4 linked regions of the Arabidopsis thaliana genome follow. The protein of the gene in region 2 interacts with the protein of the main gene of each other region in a pairwise test. Each region holds a gene or a part of one and is shown on either strand. Other genes may lie near its edges. The genes, in order: BLH6, KNAT2, BLH5 and RPL.

The links.
Region 1: the proteins of KNAT2 (region 2) and BLH6 interact in binary tests that used the Arabidopsis thaliana proteins (3 or more experiments, as listed by UniProt).
Region 3: the proteins of KNAT2 (region 2) and BLH5 interact in binary tests that used the Arabidopsis thaliana proteins (3 or more experiments, as listed by UniProt).
Region 4: the proteins of KNAT2 (region 2) and RPL interact in binary tests that used the Arabidopsis thaliana proteins (3 or more experiments, as listed by UniProt).

What each region holds. Positions count from the first base shown.
Region 1 is NC_003075.7:16,529,814-16,535,147, forward strand, and holds BLH6 (BEL1-like homeodomain 6), read right to left. Parts: upstream 3,550-5,334; 5' UTR 2,973-3,549; exon of another isoform or gene 2,761-2,972; 5' UTR 2,686-2,760; coding exon 2,035-2,685; intron 1,844-2,034; coding exon 1,476-1,843; intron 1,400-1,475; coding exon 1,339-1,399; intron 1,252-1,338; coding exon 733-1,251; 3' UTR 533-732; downstream 1-532. Other genes in the region: AT4G34600 (uncharacterized protein), read left to right, coding at 26-145; SSR16 (small subunit ribosomal protein 16), read right to left, coding at 5,271-5,334.
Region 2 is NC_003070.9:26,574,695-26,582,523, reverse strand, and holds KNAT2 (homeobox knotted-like protein), read right to left. Parts: upstream 6,039-7,829; 5' UTR 5,890-6,038; coding exon 5,617-5,889; intron 5,377-5,616; coding exon 5,242-5,376; intron 5,169-5,241; coding exon 5,030-5,168; intron 868-5,029; coding exon 626-867; intron 535-625; coding exon 379-534; 3' UTR 93-378; downstream 1-92. UniProt on the Arabidopsis thaliana protein: May play a role in meristem function, and may be involved in maintaining cells in an undifferentiated, meristematic state. Probably binds to the DNA sequence 5'-TGAC-3'.
Region 3 is NC_003071.7:11,636,586-11,641,222, forward strand, and holds BLH5 (BEL1-like homeodomain 5), read right to left. Parts: upstream 2,953-4,637; coding exon 2,518-2,952; intron 2,332-2,517; coding exon 1,952-2,331; intron 1,776-1,951; coding exon 1,715-1,775; intron 1,195-1,714; coding exon 721-1,194; 3' UTR 521-720; downstream 1-520.
Region 4 is NC_003076.8:393,795-399,656, reverse strand, and holds RPL (POX (plant homeobox) family protein), read right to left. Parts: upstream 4,091-5,862; 5' UTR 3,904-4,090; coding exon 3,184-3,903; intron 2,484-3,183; coding exon 2,083-2,483; intron 1,729-2,082; coding exon 1,668-1,728; intron 1,331-1,667; coding exon 785-1,330; 3' UTR 532-784; downstream 1-531.

The sequences.
Region 1 (5,334 bases), on a different chromosome or scaffold from region 2:
GTGAATACATTCTATTTGTGGACAGGTAGTAGAAAGAAGAATACATGAGCATGAGAGAATTCTGAGAATGAATTCAAGAGACTATGGCCACTCCAGTCCTAAACCAAAGCTCGTGAGACCTCCTTTCAAGCTTATTCCCAACTGATCATGCATATCACCGATCGACTATATATAGATGCCAGACTTTCTGAGATGTATAATATATGTAAACCTAAATACTAACACTGCAATAAGTTTGAATGATAATCATATATATAAGTTTCAAGATATGTTTTCTAGTAAATTAATGATTAGATAGTGCTCTTTGCTATCATGCAGAATGTAAATTTGGTGAATAGTCATCATTAGATGAATATTACAATTTATCTGATAGAATCCTTATGATCAAAATTAATATTGAAATATTCGATTAATTCTGAAAACGGATACAGATTGTATATGTGCCAGACAAAAAAAAAGAGAAGAGAATTGGGAACGTTGCAGTTTCGTAGATGTGATAAGATAATAAGTCTACAGTGTAATGTCCATCTCTTGCAGATCTCAAATTGCATTTACCATATTCTGTTTGGTCCCAATGACCTAACCTCACTTATATTCTTGTACAAAAGAATGTTTACTTTATACAAATATTTCTAAAACTTTTTCTTCTGACCAACATTCTTCCACTACAGAATTGAGACTGATCATAAGTTCATCACACCTATGCTTTATTCCTCTCCATTGCTTACTTCTTCAAGCTACAAAATCATGTACCAATTGTGAAGAATTTATCCGGTTCTGGCGACTTCCGGGGTTTACATACTCCATTTCATCTCCCGGGATGGCATTCTCGTAAATATCCACCCCGGAAAAGTTGTTGTATGCCTCACTAGACATAGCCACAACATTGTCCTGTCCTTGAGAGTTTTGAAGCCCTAGAGTCAAGGACACATCACCACGACCCAATCTTGACGTATCAGCCACATGATATGTAGGCTCAACTGCCATGAACCGGCGACCATCCATATGACTGCCTTGGACCATGCCACGAGTTTCCTCGCCATATCCATGTCCATGGTCCGGTTTGGTCTGGTCTTGTGAAAACTCTCGAGCTCGATCTTCATCATCAGCAGCAACAGGTCCTATCTCAGACATTTTCGGTGTATTTTCGGAAGACGAGTTGGAATCATTCTCTGTGAATTCCTCCTTGTATATCTCCTCCACCATTGGCTTCCATAAACGCACTCGTGCATTTATGAACCAGTTTGAAACCTTTTACAAACATAAAACACACAACAATCAATAAATAAACTATACTATGAAGAGAAAGAAACAATCTTCAAATAAAACATTCCTTACCTGACCGCGGCTCAAGCCCGTTTGTCTTGCTAGCATGATCTTATCAGAATCCTTTGGGTAACTATTCATGTTTTCAAACAGTAATCATCACTATTTATGAAGAAAATGTGTGGAGATAAGATTCAAGGGAGACTTACGGGTGAAGAAAATGCTCAAAGAGCCAAGCACGGAGAATCAAAACAGAGTTTTCAGGTAGACCGCGTTGAGGTCTCCAAGCTTGAGGTTGCATAAAACCTCTTTGTTGTCTTAAATGTTGATCAACGTACTTAAGCCGGCTTATAATCCCAACTCTTTTCCCATCTGATCCATCTTGTTGTTCCCCAAGGCATTTACGTAGCACGAGGATTTGTCCGGATATCGCATCCCTTAGGCTACGAAAATGGCGAGAAATTGTTTGAAGGGCGAGTGCTGTGTATGGCTTAGCTGCTCCATAACCAGCTATCACATCGAACGAGGATACAACTATCTGCATCTGCTGGTAATATTGCTTATATCTTCTATCCACCTTTACCAAAATCAAGAAATATCTCATTTTCTTAAATATTCAACATATCCTATATATACCAAATGTAACAACATTATGGCTGCAATTTATTTAAATGTATGCTTTTTTGCATTTAAAATATTATAACAAAAGGCCTATAAAAGGTAACCATCACATGATCAAATTAAGAAGATTAGGTCTCAAGTTATTACCTCATCCAACATTGACAAGAGTTTTGTCAACTTGCTCTGCATTTCTTGTCTCTCCGACTGAGAGATGTCCGCAGGAGGATTCGTGCTCGAGTCTTGAGTGCTCTGATTCGGTTCTTGAGGGTTCTCATTGTTTTTATCTCCCTCTGCCTGAAACTGCTTTAGAGCTTTCTTTACATTAACAGCCTCATCTAGAAGCTGTTGAGCCGCCTTAAGATACTTTGAGTTGGGAATTGTTCTCACAACATCCAAGTTCTGATTCCCGCCCGGAAAACTCTGTGTTGCATACTCATTGCCTCTCGGCGCCATATTTTGATGGCTTATCTGATGAATTCCTGGAAGAATCTGTGAACCAAGGCTAAGGGACAGTCCCTGACCGGTCTGAAGAATCCCCGTGGCACCTGCCATCGCGCTCATTAGCTGGAAACCGTTCCTGTCACTCGCTTGATCTCTCCAAGAACCGAAATCTTGACCAATGTTCTGCATTTGTGGAACTCCCCCAAATCTGGACAATGCTTGCCTCTCTTGTGAGGCTGAGACATTGTTAGCTTCAGTTCTTCTTTCTCTACCGGCTGATTCCTCAGAGTAAGAAACTATAGCATTCTGGATCATTGAATCTCCGGGAATAAACTGTGTTTCTGGATAATTCTCCATCGAAATGGAGTGTTCTTTTTGGCTCACTTGAGTTCCATAGTCCCTTGTTTTCTGATCAGGTCGTAAGAACTTAACCTTATGGAGGAAATGCTTGACATTAAAGACAGATTCAAAAACAATTGAAACAGAGCAGGATCCATATAATCAGTGTATTGCTAAGAAACATGTAAGATTTCAACATGTCTTGAATATATGGTTATGCATGCAATTATGGAGATGCAAGCCAAATCCATAGACAACAAAAAAAAAAGAAGAATTGTATAGAAATAAAAAGATTAGTAAATTACCTGGAAACCAAACTGCTACTTCTGATGGATTGTTGAAGGAGACAACAAAATCTTGAAAAGAATTAAAAATTAGAAAATGTGAAAGATTTTATTGATATCTTAAAAGAAAGAAATCAGAAGGTTACGCCTCTTTCTCTTGGTTGTGTTTTTTTTTTGGTATGAGATATAATTTGAATTCATCATCTCATCAATGTCACACGTGAAAGACCCATATCATACTCTCCCTCCTCCGGAAGAAAGAAAGAATGGAAAAAAAAAACTTTGAATTTCTTATTTAATAGTATATAATATGGTAATAAGAAAATCAAATAAAAACTTTATTTTGTTTTCTGAAGATATTGCTTCAGAAAGCCATAATCTGGTTGGTGCTTGAACCTCCTGCTTCTTGCTTATTGATTCCTGGAGTCAAGTCTTTGGTAAAGAGAAGAAAATTATTGTGAAAATGTTATATAAATGTATGGTTAAGGAGTTTCTATCTTTAACAACCAGTTGGTCGACCTAAACCCCTCTCTCTTCATCTTTCTCCCAATCCTAAACCTAATCTTAATCCCAATCCTTATCACTCTCTGTCTCTTAATTACACATTGATTAAATCAATATCCTCCATATAATCACATTTCTATTTTCTTTACTTAAGTTGAAAAGTACAAAGAATCAAAGATGCTACTAGCTTCTTGACATAAAGTCATCTTAAATTTAAATTTAAATTCGGAAGTGTTGAGTTATATAGTTTATTTTGCAAGTAAACAATAAAAATTTAGCAGATTAGTAGATCGTGGTGAATTTTGATTAAGTATATATATCACAACTTGTTTTTCTGATGAATAGGTCATTAACTTATCATTATAAACACATAACTAATGTTTATTATGTGAGTTTTGATTAAGAGTATTAGCTACTTTACTTTTTAAGTAAGCCAAGCCATGATTGTTTCTTCTTCCTTTTCTTTATATATTTCTTTCATACTTTTTTGGTATCTGATTATACATTCGTGGACTCTGGTCGTCCAGAGGCTATGCAACTATTAAAGAAATAAGGGTCCCAAAAAATAACAAACACAACTTTTTCTTCTTTTTTATTTTCATTTTGTAAACACCATAAGTGCTCGTTTTCCCCACTGAGTTTTGTCTTTTCCTGGAAACAACTTGTAGATATTTATGGATTAGTACTTTTTCTTTCAAATGCTTCTAAACTTAGCATTCACTTTCTTGTTTGACAGAAGTCTATATCCTAAGTCCTAAGTCCTAACTTGGTAACTACTATAATCTTTAAGACTAGGGTCCAATACTGATTAGAGGCTGAGAGAATCGTTAGTTCCATGGGCGAGACTTGAGAGCAACAACACAAAGATAATGAGAATGACTTAGATAGTGATAGGAAGTTGATCAGGGTGGATTTTTGAAGAAATATAAAGTATTAGGTGTAGAATGAAAATAGAGGTATAGCTGTCTGAATAGGGACAGATGTTGCAGCGAGAGGGTCAGAGCCAGAGATGCCGTAATAATACGAACAATGAACATCTCTGAAGGAAGAGAGAGAGAGAGAGAGAAAGAGAGAATCTAATGGGATACGAAGCGAGAGATTTTGTTGGCCCAATAGAGCTGTAATGTCCCAAAGACACATCCTTTTTTCCATAACTATAACATTTTTATTAGAAGACCAATTTAGTTTGAAATAGATTATTGTCTAGTTACTAGTCTCTTGCATGTGTTTTTAACACATATAGACGATACAAATACATTTTGGCAGATATTGAAACCAAAAAGACGGAACAAAATTTTGAAGAGAAGCAATATAAGAGTTTCAGACCTATATGAGAATAAGAACTAATTTCAAGATCAACGAGATTATATAACTACTACCATGTAGAAGTAAAGATATACATAAAAGGTAAGAACGAGGTTCTAATGTCCAAGATCATATTCAGGCAGATAACTTTTTTTTTTTTTTTTTTTGAGCAAATATGGGCCTAATTCCTTTTTTTAGCATACAATCCAGATATTGAGAATGAATCTTATTTTTGAAAATATGGGCCTCTTACCAAAGCCTATTTAGTCTAAAGTGAGAATTGTTAAATGTAAAAAGGCATGCTCATATTAAAGAATAAAAATTCACCAAACTCTGTTGCAGAAAAGTCTTAACCAACATAACATTAAACTGCTTTCACATAGAAAGCAAAAGTCTTAAACAACATTACATTAACTCCTTTCACATAAACAGAAAAGTCTTAAACAACATTACATAAACTCCTTTCACACAGACACAAAAGGCTCTTTCTTGCTCAACGCATCAACACTCTTAGTTCAAGATTTCACCTGTAATGGGTGAAACATGTTGGCTCGTAGACTTCTGCCCATTTTTC
Region 2 (7,829 bases):
GGCATAAAATCCGAAATCCAAAAACCGATCCGAAAAATCCGGCTCCGAAACCGAGCCAAATAGTCACAAAATTCGAATGGATAATGAATTCTTCTACCCGAATGGATAATGAAAATAAATTATTTAGTTGACACATCAGCTATCTAAGTAAGGTTCAATACAAATAAGAAATCTATCAATTTGGATGATTGGAAGATTAGTGACATAATATTGCCACTATTTCCAATACAATGTCTCGTTACGCCCTTGACCGTTTTGGCTAACGGGTTCCATTCATTCGCGATGATGCCCCATTTACCAAAAGCTTTTTACTGTTTTCTTTTCTTGGAAAAACAGTGTAAAAATTATACAATGCACAATTTCATGTCTCTCTTTTCATTACTCGGTAAAGAATGTTTCATTAGAATCGTCCATCATATCAAACGGCATGTTCTCCGAAGGCTTCCAATGGCGTTTCCTTTGGTTTATAAACCAATTGTTGATTTGTTTTTGATCCAAACCTGTTTCTTCAGCCAGAGATATTTTGTCGCCTTCCTATACACATTCGAGAGGCGGATATTAATATGTCGAAGAAATAAATTAATGAGTGTATGCTAGGTTACGGTGGAATCAGAAAGACACTTACAGTAGGGTAAGGCCATTTATTATGAACATTCCACCAATCGAGCAACGCTTGTCTTGCTTCTCTTGGTAGCTTCCCTTTCTTCTTCTTTTTAGAGAACTCGAGTTTCAATGAACTGATATGGCTACCAAATTTGCGTAGTAGCTGGTCCTTCAGATCGCGGTCATTGCTTCTTTGTTGGCTGTCATCCGCTGCTATGTCATCATCTTCTCTCAGTTCCTCGTCAGATGAAACCGCACCATCATCTGCTCATACATGAGAATAATGTCATACAGAAGATTCAATAATGATTAGCTCCCACGTATTAGCCAAATACGTGCCATACCGATAAAATGTACTAGGAGAATGTATGGTGGTGCTATTTATGGTAGCATATTTGACAATGTAGAAAGCAAATTCTACCACTATGCCAACACTAACAAACATAGCTAACACTAAGATACTAGTAGGCTCGGCTAAATGACTAAGTGGCTAAAGCAGCTAAAAGAAGAAAAGAGCCAAAAAAGCATAGAGAAGAGAACAAGGGTGAAAGAAAGGAAAAAAAAAAAAAAAAAAGGGTGAAAGAAAGGGGTAAAAGGGGAAAAACAAGGATAGCGAGATAATATCGAGGTTTTACAAGACCCGGGCACAAAAATGATCAGTCAAAAACTTTCGCAGTCACTGAATAGTTTAGCTTCCATTGCCACTGACGTGCTCCTTTGGGACTTACCACTAGCCACCTGAGTCACGACACGTATCACCTTTCTGACACTTGTTTGAGTGACCCCCGGAAAAAACGCTTCCCCAACATTTATGAACTTTCTCATAATGCCCCATTTATGACCATACCATACTGACCCCTATGTTACTGCGACTAAAAGGGAGCCTAATTAAGGGAGTTTAAACATGATTAATGGTCAAATTATTTGCATTAATAGAAATTTCACTTAGTATTCTCAACTTAGTGATTACAGAAAGACATCGTTTCAAAGTCTCCCTAAAGAGTTTAGGTTGTAGTTTGCTACACCACTAATGAGCTGATCCTTAGACAAATCACACAAAATATAGTTCACACCCTATCCATGAAAACTTTGCTAGTTGAGGATGGTATGTGCAATAGTAACTCGGTTTGTTCTTTACCTATTAGCCGAATTTGGTTCCTATATAACATCAAGACAATGCGAAAGAGACAACATGCACTGATAAAAAAAAAGTAGATAGACTTGTACATCTCCCAAAAAAAGTTAAACACGTGGAAATTGCATGGCCCATTAAGGGAACAAACGCAGAGAGGAAATGACAACCACTAAGCAACAGTAGAAAAAGATGTGGAGAAACATTAGTCGTAAGATGATTGCATTGTACATAAATCAAAACCCATGTCTCTCCCCTATTTTCTTCTCTTTCTTTTTCTTTAAAATCAAATCAAATCTTAAAAAGAGAGTGTTGCGATTGGGTCATAAAGGGATCCACCAACGTAATCCACGGGAGTCCATGTGACACTTGACCACCTCATGCTTCTGTCTCCAACTTCTTCTATTTAGAAATTAAAAAGGGCTAAAAGATTTCTAATTCAAGCATTTGGGTGTGTTTTTTTGTGCGTGTCAAAAGGACCATTCTATCAACGAAGGTGATATAACCAAACAGATTATCAGTATTATCATGTCTAGAACTGGTGAAGTAACTAATGTGCCATGACAGAGTATTTTGTTCAAAAGAACATGCTTTTCGAGTTTCCTACGAACATTGAATGAATAGAATATCATTCACAGCCAAAGATATATCTAGGGTGAATGCATAGGGACCTAGGGTGAATGCATTTTACAACACAAAAATACTAGTTGTAGACTGTAGTGAATAATCTTAAACAATAGTCCTAAATTCCACATATGGATACAAAATCGCACATGGATCTCATTGTATCAATACACCATCCGAACACCAAATGATTAGAAGAAAATATGAGGATGGAACAAAAACCATGGCCAAGATTGACCATCTTAATCACGAAAAGGGTCAATTGCACACTAAAGCGAGAACGAAAAAAATAAGTAAACACAATTGCTATGACAAACATCAGTTGACTAAAGAGGATTTGGTTTATTCCTAAAGCATATTAGCACGAAAAGAAACCAAAAGCACATGACTCTGAAAACTACATATTATGAGTTATACTATTAGTTTAAGATATTCAGTTGAAAAGAAAGTCCTTTCTCGGGACTTAAGAAACAGAAAAAGGTATTGACCAAGGAAAAGATGTTCATAAGGTAATATATATTCCTTCAAAATCATACATGAGATTACGCTAAAAAGGTAAGTGGTACTTCAAAACCATTAAAAAACTAAACATTCGTCCAATAAAGATAAATTCAAGCTGCAAGTGATCTGTTTTTCAACCTTTTGGACAAGATTATTCCCTATGTAAACTCCAATTAATTAAGTACGCTGATAAGTATTAACAACTTTTCGGAATTAAACAATGCTAACAAAGTACAACCGAAGCAGCATTTGATATCAACATATAAGAAAAAGAAGACTATTAAAGCTGAATTCCACTATATTGTAGTTCCAATTTTTTTCCAGCTAGTTCTTATCAGGTGGAGATGAAGAAGTAAAATGATTACTTTAAAATCCCTAAGATAGTGAAATACTTTACTTATAAAAAATATACACACGTATTCTGACAACATGAACGTGGCTAAGTAGATTAGTGTAGATTAACAAGAAACTAATTTTTGCCCTGTTGGAAAGGTTTAACCAATATAAGCTACAAAAACAACACAAAGACAACTAAAATTACATTCTTTTAAGAAACCTACTATTCCTTATTTGGGCTGCTTGTAAAATACTTACAAAGTTCTATTCTGCTTAATTAAGAAAACAAATGGTGGAAAAGAAGGTACCATTAAGTTTAGTTTAATACCTCGGCAAATTAGTAAACCTCACTTACATTGTGTAAGTGTCTTAATGCATTTCAATCATTTATTTATTCACATAAAATTCCAACAAGAATACAAGAATAACAGACACATTAACCACGACATGCAGAATATACAAGCCTCTTGGCCATCAAGCATTTTTATGGACTTACATGCGCATGAGCTCAGATTAACTGAAATCCAACAGAGATTTGGTTTAGCTTTTTCGAGCTAAAGAAACACAAAATCCAACTATTTGACCTGATCAAGACACTTCTTTGGTTTACTAAGTCAGATAGGTTCGTGAAAATTAATCACACCAATGATTTTGTACATGTAATTTGAACACAGTGGACTTCAAATGTAAGACCCTTAGGTGCAAATACAATGTATTCAAAAATAAGGGCTAGTGTCATTAATTTTCACATACACTAAGAAAACAAATCAATCTTATGTTATACTCATTATACACAATAAATTTTTATCTCTCTAATAGTAAAAACTAAAGTGACATGGATAAAACTTAAGTCTGACACTTTCTATGGAAAAGTAGTATAAACTTTGGTTCATTCACCAAGAGAAGTTGGAGTAATCAAGAACTAGTAAAGTTTTGTTTTACCCATCAGTCTCTTAATGAAGATGAAAACAAGCGATACTACTAGAGATCTAAACATGAAGCCAAGGACAAACTCAAGAAAAATCAGTGGCATTTATTAGTGGAAGTTATGACTAGGTTTTTTCTCTATGATTGAATTTTCACTGGAAATAAGCAATTAAAAAACTTCCAGTACGACACTGAAACGTCAAAATCAGAATCTCTAGCGCAAAAGTTTTTGCTTTCATAGACCCATATTTTCTTCTGACAGAGGAGAAGATAATAATACAAGTATATATAAAAGTAACAAAAGAAAAGTATACCATACCAAAATCACTAGGAAAATAAATATCACTAACAGAGAAAATCCTACCCACCGGCTTTCCCCTAATATCCGCCCCACAGCTTAAACCATAGCTAATGATAGAAAATAAATGTCACAAAGATGTGTGAAGGTCATGGATCTATCTAAAGCATGAATGACTTCTACCAAATATAAAAGATGTGGCTGAATCAATCATTGTTTTCTAACAAAACTAGGGTTTTAGAGTTTCCTTGTTTTTTTCTGACTTTTATTGCCTTGGGTTGTCTAAACCGGATCTACTAAGCTCCTCCTAGTTTCAGCTACAACAACTTATCGATTCTCGTTTTCTTTAAGGAAAAAAAAAACAGTAGAAGATTTCCAATTTTTCCATCAATTCCAAGAAACTGATCATTGAAGCACAGAAAGGAAAAGTTATCTGAGGATAGATTTTCTAATCCGCAAGATCTGTAACTGTAAGGAGAAATTTGCGCAAGGATTTTAAAGGACACACAAACCGAGGATAGTGCTCAAAGATCAATAAAAACACTAGCTAGGAAACAAGAAATCAAAAGTACACTCGAACAAGAGATAGATATCACTTTAGTGCTGACCTGAAAGAGCTGTAGCAGACGCTGGACCAGTGCACAAGTTCTGAAGCTGCATTTCAATCTTGTTTATGAAAGTTGTAGCCTCGTCGAACGGCCTCGCAAGATCGGTTTTGTATTTAACCAATATATCACAGTAGGTTTCCTAGAATCACACCACAAAAAAACAAAATTATATTTTAAGAAAAACTAGAAGATCAAAGTTCAAGGCAACGAACAAAGTGAGAAACCATGAATTCATCAAGCTCAGGATCAGCTCCAAAGCAAGATAATGGAGCAACATCTCTCTTGTACACATGGTTCTCTCGCTGAATCTCTTCCAATATACACGCTATTTCCATAGGCGCTCCCACCTGTCAATCAATAACCAAAAAAAAAAAAAAATCACTCTCACATATAAACACAGTCTCTCTAGTTCTCCAATCTTATCTTAGGGTTAAAGTGGAATAGAAAAAAAAAAGTAAGAGAACTATCTTTAAATACGACGATGAATACATGTAAAATTCCTGACGCTTAATCAAATTAACCTTGAAAGCACAAAATCATACACAACAAGAAAAAGAAAAGACAAAACACGAAAGCAGCGAGATCACCTTTTGGCAATCGATGTAGGTTTGGAGTAAGCGAGGATACAAAGGATGAGAAGCGATTTTGGATTTGATGACACTAAGAGAGAAATTATCCTCAGCTTTTCGAATACGCGGAAGCAACTCCGAGGACAAAGCGGTAGCGAGTTCGTCGGATCCAAACAGTCTTTGATTGTCTCCGGTGGTTGAACAAATCAAAGACTGATAATCGGACGGCATCATCAACGTCGCTTTCTCCGAATAGTCTTCCGTCGAGCGGAAACCACACATTCTATCCATTAATGTGATCGTAGTGAGATACGATCAGTGATCGCCGCTTCTTCGATCCCTAGCCTTGTGCTTGCTTCTGAAGAATATGAAGAAACACAAAAGTAAGAAGTAACAAACTGCTTCAAAGAGAGAGAGAGATAGAGACAATGGAAATAGATAGACTGGCCAAGTTGAGGCGGTCTCGTAGTATAGTAGTCTGAGGGCAATGATCGTAAATATTTCAGCAAAAAACCAAAAAAAAAAAAAAATGATTTGTGACGAAAAGCAAAAAAAAAAAAAAATCACGAATATGAATTTTCATAGTTTATTATGATAATTTACAAGTTTTTCTTAAAGACACCATAATTTTTATTTTATTTTGTCGTACTAGTATAAAAGAAGAAAGATTTCAAGGGTTTGCCATATGTGTTAAGGAATACGATTCGAGTGATTATAAAAAGATTTCTTCGTGATTCAAGAGCACTTTTTTTAACTGTACGATTACATGGTTACGATTATTTTTGATATATAATATTATCGCACAAATGATCAAAATAGCACGCTAACCTTTAGAATTTATGACTTAGCTAATGAAGACAACAATTAGTACTTGTTAACAAAAACAGGTTAGACGATGGTAATTTGAATTTTGACAGTAAAAACAAATGATGGTAATTTTGTTAATTAATAAGCTTTTTGTTTCAATTACGGTGGCCGACACCTACTAGGCTACTACGATTCTAGTTGTCTAACCGGATCGGTTCAACTTCAATTTCACTCTTTCAATTTTCACCTAGTTTTGTTTCTCTGTAAAACACGTCTATGGTAGCTAGGTGCTCATTATCAATCACAACATAGTAAACAATTTTTGTTTTTTAATTGCTTTCAGTCATTTGCTAATTAAACACACTCTTAGGAACTATTTTTTATAGTGGCCACTCCACTTATCGCACTTCTTGTTATTTTCATAGAGAATCTGTTAGTCGCGTATAATATCAACTCAAAATGTTTCATTACCTTATATAGTAACAGAACCTGCAGTTTTTGTCATAAACCAAAATCCATCTATAAACCCTGTTGTAAGAAAAAAAACTATATTTTTGCATGGGTCTACTCCAGACCCGATCCGATGATCCATATCGTTTTTTCCGCAAAAAAAAATAAAAACAAATGTCATAAAGGTCTTTTTGATGATGGACAGGTTTGATTGACACATCCGTCGGACTACTTTGGTGTGAAATTTAACTGACATAAAGCTTTGTTTTAGTATCAAACCTTATAAAAACGACAGAACTTTCCTTCTCTCTCATTTCACTTCGTTGGATCGTATCGTATTGAATCCCCACCGGTGGCCTTCACAGCACATATTTATATTGTTTCTAAACTTTTCTGTATTTTTTGGGGGGGGTCACAAGTTTCTATAATCTATATGATCACTATCGTCGAGAAATGATTGCAAAAAAAAAATGTGTGTCTTGCAGAAAAAATAATAATAACAAAAAGTGACGACTAAATTATTAGATCAAGTGCATATAATTATGTTGCTAAGATAATATTGTACCACTCGAATGTTTCATCATGGATTGTTCATACTGTTCCCGTGATTTAGTGTTGTTAGGTTTCAATTCTTTGTATTGAGGTTTTTGTTAATATATTATTGTACCACTCGGTTGCTTCAACTTTGTAGGAGTTTATTGTCATTCTTTTTTGTATCTCATATCATCAATATGTGGTTTTGAACAAATTTGTTTCTGTTGTTAGAAATGTTACTGAAATTGGAGATTACTTAGCTTCTTATGGATTTTATTTATTTATTTTGGGAATCCCAGGTCTTAATACTCTCCTTTGGTTGTTTCTCTTTCTTTCTAAGTAGTTTTATGCTATACAATTACATGTTATCAAAATAATCTTAATATGGTTTATAAAATTTTATATGCTTGTCTTAATATGTTATGTTTTAACAAATATTG
Region 3 (4,637 bases), on a different chromosome or scaffold from region 2:
GGGTATTTATGTATCATAGAGAGGTGTGTTTGGTCGTTTGTATAATGTCTTCATTCATATTTTTCAGTATGTAATTTGTAGCAACGGTTTGTGTGTTTAATGATACAGAAAATATTCTCTCCCATTTTTTCTATCATATTCTTATTTTACCATCATTTTTAAAACATTTCTGTATTTTGTTAGTTTGTAAAATAAAAAATAAAAAATTGGATATGGAAGACAAACAAAAAATCAACTCAAATAAATAAATCCATAACTTCTTGGTAGCCAATTAACTTGTGGTTAGGTCACTAAGATGATCATGTAAAACAACAAAATAATAATTATAGCTAATATATATTCATTGTTTTGTGGAACAAATTTTAGAAAAAAGACAGAAGAGGTGGGAGATTAAGTTAGGGTTTTTGGGGACATACACACACACACACACACATACACGTTCATAAAGTCACAACTATTAGCTAATATGGATCTCACGGTTGATCTGATCTTCATTTACACTCATACGTAACAATACTAACTAAAACCTGACTATCGAAAACCATATATATTTCTTTAGCTTAGTATTGTTATCTACATTTTTATCATAACCTTTACTTAATCATCTCCTCTCTATCAATCTACACACATCAACCCATACGAAACCATCCAAGGGCCAAAACTATACACAGAATATACGTAAGCAACAAGCAGAAAATATATCATCCCCACTAATTATTTCTAATCCATGATTTGATAAGTTGAAGATGAATATATGGCCGAGTTCTCAGTTCCATGACTTGTTGACTCAAAATGAATGTTATTAAAGGTTTGGTCACAAGAATGAGGCAGGCCGAGGGAAAGGGAGACGCTGTTTCCATCCATTGTGTGATAGTTTTCGAACCCTCCGTTGAAATTGATGAAGTTCGCTTGATTCATGTGTTGCTTCGTGAACCTCATGACTACGCTGCAACTTGAGGATGAATTTTGCCTAGGGGTTTCAGTTTCAGTGAATCCTTGACGAAAGGCGGGTAGGATCGTGTTCGAAGATTCATTTGAAGTTGTATTATTGTACGGTTGCTTTGAAGATGAACCTTTGGTACTATACCGGTCACTTCCTTTTCTGCTTTCTTCAATATCCATTTCTTCCGAATAAAGTTCCTCCACCAGTGGCTTCCACATTCGAACTCGAGCATTAATGAACCAATTTGACACCTACATCCATTTTACACAAGATACTATTAACAATACTTATTTTGATTATATATAATCATGGGTGCTAAAAGAAAGTATTCCATAATATATATAATTACTAATTTAACCAAAATAAATTTGATTTACTTTACAAAGGATCACATATATGATATTTCTCGTATGCTATCATCGCTATTTTCATTAAAATAATTATAATAAAATAAATATACATCATCTATCTAAATAAATTTACCAAAATATATTTGGTTTACCTGCTTTTCTTAGAATTCTTGGGTACGTTTTTGTTTTCAGACTCGAAAAGAAAAAAAAATAGAAATAAAGAGATATCTTTCTAAAAATATTTTTTTGATCGGAATAAAATTTGTTTGAATCTATATATATATTCGGTTTTACCTGTAGATTATTTATTCTTGATAGTCGGTGTTAGATGATGTCATGAAATTGTATATGTACTATGTATGAGACATCTAACATTAAGAAACTTAAGTATGTCCAACTTCTGATAATCGAAATCAATTACCTGACTCTTAGTAAGGCCAGTCTGTTTGGCAAGCATTACCTTATCCAAATCCCTCGGATATCTATACAAACCAAAACAAGACACAACTAAATCATTAGCATGCATGTCTATACAAAACTAAGTAATGATCCTAGCTTCCATATCCTTAGTTAGTTCCCTTTGCTTCAAGGTCCCATCATTCTGATATATCGACAATAATCGTAACAAGAATTAAAGATAGAAGAAAACGTTACTTACGGATGAAGAAAATGCTCAAAGAGCCAAGAGCGTAGAACGGAAACAGCTTTTTCGGGCAAACCTCTCTGCGGTCTCCAAGCATTTGAATGGTGATGTGCCATCTTTCCCAACTTCTTAAGCTGCTCGTCAAATTCCTTTTGTCCCAAGAGCTTGTTTATTTGCTTGATTTGCAAACTTATCATGTCTTTTACAGCACGAAACTGCTTTGATATTGTTTGTAACGCCATATGTGTGTATGAGTTTGCTGAGCCTAAACCCGCAGCTTGCTCAAACGATGAGATTATAGTCTGCATTTGGTCATGGTATTGCTTGTATCTCTGTTCCACCTGTGTATAATTTACCAAATTCATTTCCCAAATCAATTTACCAATCTTTGAAACCTTTATAAAGTATCAAATACTTAACATGCAATAACCAAATATATGGACTGAACTTGAGTCCCGATCTCAAAGTAACAGAAAGTTTATTGCCATTATATATATCACCATGGTTGGTTTGTATATACAAAGATCTTATTATTATTATTTGTGTATCACATATTATATAGGTAGGTATAAATAAGTTACCATTTCACCCATGGAGATGAGTTTTGCTTTCTTCATTTGCAAAGCAGCTACGCCAGGCTTATAGCCACCATTGATGTCCTCAACTCCATAAATCGTGGACTCTTTACTCACCGGTCGCTCTTGTTTTGCGCCGTGGCTACCGTTTCCAACATTGACAATCTCATTGAGTAATTCTTGAGCCGCTTTCAAGTAGATCGGAGCCAAAGCCCTGAAGACTCCTCCGTTTGAAAAAGTGGAGATGGAAGAATTTCCTTGTTCTATATGACCTACTTCATCTCGAGGTCTATATTGTTGGGAACCAAAGCACAAGTTGTAGAAGTGATCGTCATGAGCATTAGTGGTCGTTGTCTGCTCGCGAAACGGATTCAGAGTCATCATAAAAAGATCAGAAGAGTGTTCTCTCATTTCAGATTCTCCAAGAAAGAAAGCAGCCATTATTCTGACAATTAAGCAACAAAACTTGCAATTCAAGAAAATATCAAATTATAATATAAATCGATCTAAAACATTAATAATATCCAAGAGCTTAGGAAGAAAAGGTAAGCAAAAGATGATGAAATAAAGATGTGACAAATCAAGAAAATTAAATTACCGTTTTTATTTAATAATTAGAAATGATGAGCAGCAAATTATGGGTGTGAGTTTCTCATTGTCTTCTTCGACGTGTCTTTCTCTCTGCTTGCGATGATCATCTAAATATCCTCTGCTTCATTGATCTGTCAACTAGAAAGTCCAATAAGTCGCCTTTATAAATAAAATGTGATTGGACTTTTCATAAATGGGAAAAATATGTACTTTTTTCTTTTATATCTCATTGGACAACTAAACAGTGACACTCACGATTAATATTTTTCTTGTGATGTTTCGAAGTTCAATGGATTTTGACCAATCACCAATTCTAGCATACATGATATATGCACGGCATGCTACTGCTACATATCCAATATTTCTCACTTGCATCTTAGGCACGATTCACACCCAATATCCAACCTAGCTAAAAAATTTCAATGTGGTCGCAAATGTAGATCTACGAGACAATCTATCTAAGAATAAGTATAGCTACCATATATATATTTTTACGATCACACTTCTATCATTGTCATTCGTTTTACCATTTGTATACTATAGGTGAAATAAGATTTTAATTAATGGTTGTTGACGAGAAAAATATATTACAGATGGTAGTATTGTCTTATCATTTGATGTCCGCACGTTTAATATTTGGCAACGCATCTATATGATCCCTACATGAATAACTTAGTAGGTCAACATTTATTATTAGTATATTGTATTATTATTACTAAATTAAAATCTACAATGAATCTATGTATATGTGTATAGTTAAATGTATGTGAAAAGATAATAGAAGTGGGTCAGCAGAACCATGGAGATAGTTGAAGAACGAGGAAACGTCTACTTCCACTCCACACATCAAAAGTCTTCTTTTATGTATTTAGATAACCATATTAGTTTGCGACAAGTCACTCTTTTTCTTCTTTTCCACAACTAAACAACTAATTAACTGTATTGCAATGCAAATCTATGTTTAAAAATTTATCAGCCAAAATAAATAAAGTTTATTTGCCTGGTTCCGCCTTTATCTTCAAAATTTCCCTATTCCTTTCATATAGTTTTCTAAATCATATTTTCTCTTATGTTTTCTTTGTGTTGTCAGTACTTGTGTTTGAAGATAGTAATGGTACATTGGAAAATAGACCACATGGTCCACAATTCCCGGAAATTCATTACTCTTCGAATTAAGCATCCATCCATAGTTAAAACACATTTTGACATAGTAATGTATCTAGAAAATAATTTCGAATACTAATATAAAATTTGGATTTTATTAATAGATTACATTTAGACATTATTTTTTGGTGATGCCATTATCTGCCTGTATTCCTCGGAAAGCTTCCCATCACACACCGAAATAAAGCTAGACGTATCTTAATTGATATCGCGATATGTGTTGAGATCAATTTTTTTTCTATTATTGAATGTGATAATAACTATTTAGTTTGGTGGATTGAGACTGTGTATGAGAATTCATCGTGTCGGTCAGATCCAAGTTGTATTTATATCTTTCACTTTATGATAATAGTATTTTTCCTTTTTAGATC
Region 4 (5,862 bases), on a different chromosome or scaffold from region 2:
AGGATCGGAGAATAAATTCTACAAAGAAAAAGATTTACTTTTTTCCCATGAGAGGGAAAGGTTATGTATATATATATATATATATATATATATATATCTTTCTTGTTTTCCAAAAGCAAATGGAAAGTTATTTGAAGCAACAAAAGCACAATTTTATTTTCAATACTTTTGCTCTCATGTGATCTTCAAAAGCCAACGTATTAGTACACACTGAACATTAAACCGAACTCATTTGTTTTGTGTGTTTGAAATCGGCTCAAACTTCTTTTATGAGTAGAAGAATTCAACAATGTTGAGCGGATCGGAGTCAAAACTGCATCCGACTCAAAAAGATAACTCAAATAGTCTGAAATATTTCAAGGTTTAGGGTTTGAAAACATGTTGTTTAGTCAATGTTTACTATCAAGTAAAACAAGATAGTTCAAAATATAATATCAACGATCAATGATAAACATCTTAATCGCGTTCTTCAACGATAATTGTGACATACATAAAAAAAAAAAAAGCACCATGTTTTGAATCATGCCAAAATATTAAAACAATGATAGATGCCTTTTATATTTCACCAAGACATAGACAACTCTAAAGTCTAACCCATGTTTTTAACATTGGTTATTGAATCCAATTTCATTTCTTAAAAAGATAACATTTGTGAAAGTAAGCAAACAACAAAAAAAGAAGAAGAAACATTCTAATATACACATCATATGCATTTCAATTCCCCCATATCTTCTTATACATACCCAAACGTCAAACATATTTTTTCCTTTCCACACAAATAATCTCAACCTACAAAATCATGTAGAAACTGATGATTACTACCACCAATAAAATCTCTCCCAAACTGACGATTTTGCCCTTCATACCCACCACCACCATCGCCACTACCACCATCAAGCCCAAACCTCTGAGCAGTTGTCATCGGAAAAGGCTCCGGTAACCCAATCTGATGATGAAGCCCTAACGTCAAAGACACTCCTCCGTTTGTGCTGCTATTCATCACCGGCACATTCGACGACCCAATTCCATACGAGAAACCAACCGCACTACCGCCGCCGCTCCCACTGTTTACATAGCTGTTGTTGTTGTTTGTGCCATGAACGTCGTCGTTTCGTGCCCGTCTAGGCGGAGATGAGTTGTTAGGTCTTTGCTGTGCCGAGGACGAAGATGGGTTGTTGTTGCTGTTGTCAGGGAAGACGGTGGTGCTAGTACGTTCGTCTCTCCAAGAGGAAGAAGAAGATCTCTGAGATTGTCGAGTCTCCAGCATGTGAATCTCTTCCACCATCGGCTTCCAAACCCTAACTCTTGCGTTTATGAACCAATTCGATACCTAAAATAACATTTTACCATAATAAATTAATAACCCTCAAGCGATAGAAAATCCCTAAATTATTCATTATCACCAACGGATAAATTTTCAAAAACAAAAGTGTAACACTTATTCAAACCTAATAAACCAAATTATAACATAGTTACTATACTAATGATATATGTGAAAAGATTTAAAACATATAATTATTGTCCGACAACAGAAACTCATTTCATAAAAGCATATATTTATCTATGTGACTATGTGCATGCTTAATTAGCAAGAAATTTGTTAAATTGTGAACAAGAAAAGATGGAAAGAGAAAAAAGAAGAAGACTGAAGATATCAGAAGTGAAACCTGATTTCTGGAGAGACCTGTCTGCTTAGCCAGCATGAGTTTGTCTGTATCTGTTGGATAACTGCAACAAAAGACACAGACAACAACAATTTAATATATCATTGTATATACTAACATACACATATATATAGACACATAATTACGCTTGCAACACGACATCTCCAAGTTTGGGAAACAAACAAGCAGTCGACATGTCCCATCTAAAACATACTTCCAAGTAAAAATACACTTCGATACACACATATTTATTCACACTGACACACACATATAAAGCTATTGTTCACAAGCATATATATACAATTTGGTTCATGATCAATTAAACGTTTGCATTTAGTTTAATCAATTGTTGGAACCAAGTTCAAACTCGAATCCAACAACTTTCAAAAGCATTTATATGGCGAGAAGGGTTACTTACGGATGCAAGAAATGATCGAAGAGCCAAGCCCTTAGAACAGTAACAGCACGTTCGGGTAGGCCACGGTGCGGTCTCCAAACAGGAGCATGATGATCAGGAAATCCATGTCTTTGACCAGCAGAACATAAGCCTCTAGAACTATCACTTCCTCCAAATCTTAAAGAATCAGTCTTATTCTCAGAGTTCATCGGATGACCACATTGTTGTTGTTGTTGGATCTTGTTGTTGTGGCTGAATTGAAGCTGGTCCGTTATAGCATTCTTCAAACACTTGAAATGCTTAGACAATGCTTTCAAGGCTAAGTTAGCGTACGGAGCAGCGTGCCCGAGACCTGCAACGCATTCGAATGATCCCATCACAGCTTGTAGCTGCTCATAGTATTGCTTATACCTCTTGTAAACCTTCAAAACGTCACATGGAAATGTTTTTAGATTCCCCCACTTACATAATAAAATGGGTGATTATAAATTTATACATTATTTCCTCACTCAAAAAGTATGTTATATACCTCGGAATAAACTAATTAAAATCTTTAAGTCCCTAGCTTTAAGATCATATAATGCATATATTCCTTTCATAAAGAAGACGTTCTCTTTTTATCACTTAATGTTTATACCCCTAAGATTTGAAGAATCTAATTCACAAATTCAGATCAAGAGCTAAGGAAGCTCTATATAAAGTTACTTCCTCAAGATAATATTATCCTTACTTTAGTATAACCTTAAAATTCTATTAAAAATCAGCATGAAGATGGCAAGCTTGTAATTTATATAATGTATTAAAATGGACGCTATAACATCATCTATTCATGCAAAACGTAGGGAACATTAATTTAATTAACATATGGTATTATAATGAATTAAATAAAATATCATATAATTTTAAAATGGCTTTGAAGGAGTTTCATTTTCCAAGGAAGATCTTTTTAAGAGACATATCATTTAACACATTTTGTCTCCAATTCCAAAGGACACCGACCAAAAACTGTGAACATTTAACACAATAATTCACATACTTGTAAGAAAGTATAGACAATAATTAAAGAAAATTTACAGATTTCAATAATTTAAAGAGATTAGAATTGATCATGTTATTGTATACCTCGTCGAGCATGGAGATGAGTTTTGATTTTTTCTTTCCATTATCTCCTCCGCCGCCATCAGAAACACCGCAGAGATTCTCAACCGTCGGATCAAAAAGCAGAGAAGAATCATCGTCGTCGATGACTTTGTCGGTGTAAATCCCACGACCCACATTACAAAACTCATCAAGAAGCATCTGTGCTGGTTTCAAGAACCTTGATCCTTTAAGAATCGACGCGTAGCCCGTGAAAGGTCCGAGAGGACCAGAGCTTCTAGACGCGATGGTGACGGCGGCGGCGTTGGCTTCACCGGCAGATCTACAGAATCCGGAGTTAACAACACCGGGAACGACTAGATCGTAAGCGAGTCTAGGGTGAGAGGACAAAGATAGAGATAGAGGCTCGGGTTTGAAGACAAGAACGTCTCCGGAAGAAAGTCCGGCGTTAAAGGAATGATCTCCGGCGACGGCGACTGCGGTGGATGAAGAAGAAGAAGGGCCACCGAGAAATCCCATGAAATTACTGTAGCTAGGGTTAGATATGTGGTTGTTGTTGTTGTTGGAGTGAAAGCCACCGGCTGCGAGGAAATCGGAATCAGCGAGAGGAAAGACGCCACCTCCGCCGCCGGAGGAAGGAGGAGGAGGAGGGTGAAAGTGGAAGTGGGAATCGAGAGATGGAATACGAAGTTTGTCTCGCCGGCTTTGTTGAAGAACATGATAAGGCTCGTATGCATCAGCCATGGGAAAGGATGATGTCGATGAGATGCAGAAGAAGAAGAAGAAGAAGAAGAGAGAGAGAGAGTAACAGTGTAAGAGATAATGGCGAAACGAGAGGTTAAGAGAGAGAGAAGCTCTTTTGGTGTCTTTTTGAAGCACGATCAATATGTATATCAAATTTTTCTTTATATGACATATTTTGAAAACCTAAAATATAAAATATCTAATGTTTATAAGACTTGGAGGAATTTAGTATGAGCATTACAAATTTGGTCAAGATTCATCTTTTTGGTGTTTGTTACTAAAGCCAATTCAATGCTCTCTCATAGGTCATCCGTAGAATGGTGAATTAAGTTTAATGATTGCGTGGGATTTTAGTATTTTATATGGTTCTGTGAAATCGTGATTTAGTATTTACGTTATTACACGATTTCGTAAAACTGAAATTGAAAAGACATATTCTTTCTTGAATCATTTTTTCGTCTTAGCGTCCTACAATTTTTTTGTCATTTTTCACTACCTGTTTTGTAGTTTTCTCTTATTTTTGTTACATTTCGTTTTAGTCACACAACTGTTAAAAGTTAATCGTATATATACTGAAGTCCTAAAAATAAATCTCATTATTTTTTTTTAAAACGGGTATTTCAAACGATGGATACATAGTAACTCGATATACTTTCCTCATCATGCAAACAAATTCGATCTTTATAATATATATATATATATAAAATACTGATGAAAATCTTTAACAAAAAAAAATACTGATGAAAAGTGAAAAGTCCCGGGTTTGGTGGGAGAGGCTTTGGGGAATCAAGAGAAGGCGACCGGCTGTAACCGGTGACACTGGAACTGGTTCTTGTACAAAGTGTTCTGTGTCTCAGTCTTTCACATACGTACTGACATTTCTACAACTTTTAAGTCTTCTTTTTGTCGTTTTTCTTCTTTTCTTTTGCTGGAATAAATACCTTTTTACGCTTAAAATATTTAGTCACTCTATTTTTATTCGACAATCATACATTCACACTAATCTCCATAGTTGTAGGCTTGTAGCTATAGTACTAAAAGTAGGGATATCAAAATGGATAACCCAACTCTACTCAACTTATAATCAAATGAGTTTAAGAATAAATGAGTTATGGGTTGACCCAACTCATTTTGTTAAATGTGTTGGGTCAACCTATAACTCATTTAATTTAATGGTTTGAGATGTTAACCCATTTAAGTAATAATTTAATTAATTATTATTATAAAACAATAATAAATAATTATCATTATTAATTCATTATCATCAAACTTAAGATATTTACGGATTTTATTTTTTACAGGTTTACGTTTTAGGTACGGAAAATCACGGATTTACGTTTTGACAGGAAAATTATAGTTTTTTACGTTTTTGGCCGGAAAATGATGGGTTTACGTTTTTGGCTGGAAAATTTCGGGTTTAAGCTTTTCGGCGAAAAAATCTCGGATTTACGTTTTTGGCGGGAAAATCACGGATTTACGTTTTTGACGGAAAAATCATGGGTTTACGTTTTGGGCGAAAAAATAACGGATTTACGTTTTTGGCGGGAAAATCTCGGGTTTACGTTTTTGGCGGGAAAATCACGGGTTTACGTTTTTGGCGGGAAAATCACGGGTTTACATTTTTGGCGGGAAAATCACGGGTTTACGTTTTTGGTGGGAAAATTACGGGTTTACGTTTTTGGCGGGAAAATTAAGGGTTTACGTTTTTGGCGGGAAAATCACGGGTTTACGTTTTTGGCGAGAAAATCACGGGTTTATGTTTTTTGGTGGAAAAATTACGAATTTATTTTTTCTCAATTTCATCGCTTGTATATTTAAGAAATTTGGAAAAATATTAATTTTATTAAATTTGTTTAGATGTGTTGGTTAAACTTAAATTGGCATTGGTTTAGAGATTTTAGTTGGTTTAATTCAATTTTATAAAATTTGATGGGTTAATTGGGTAAACCATTGAAACCA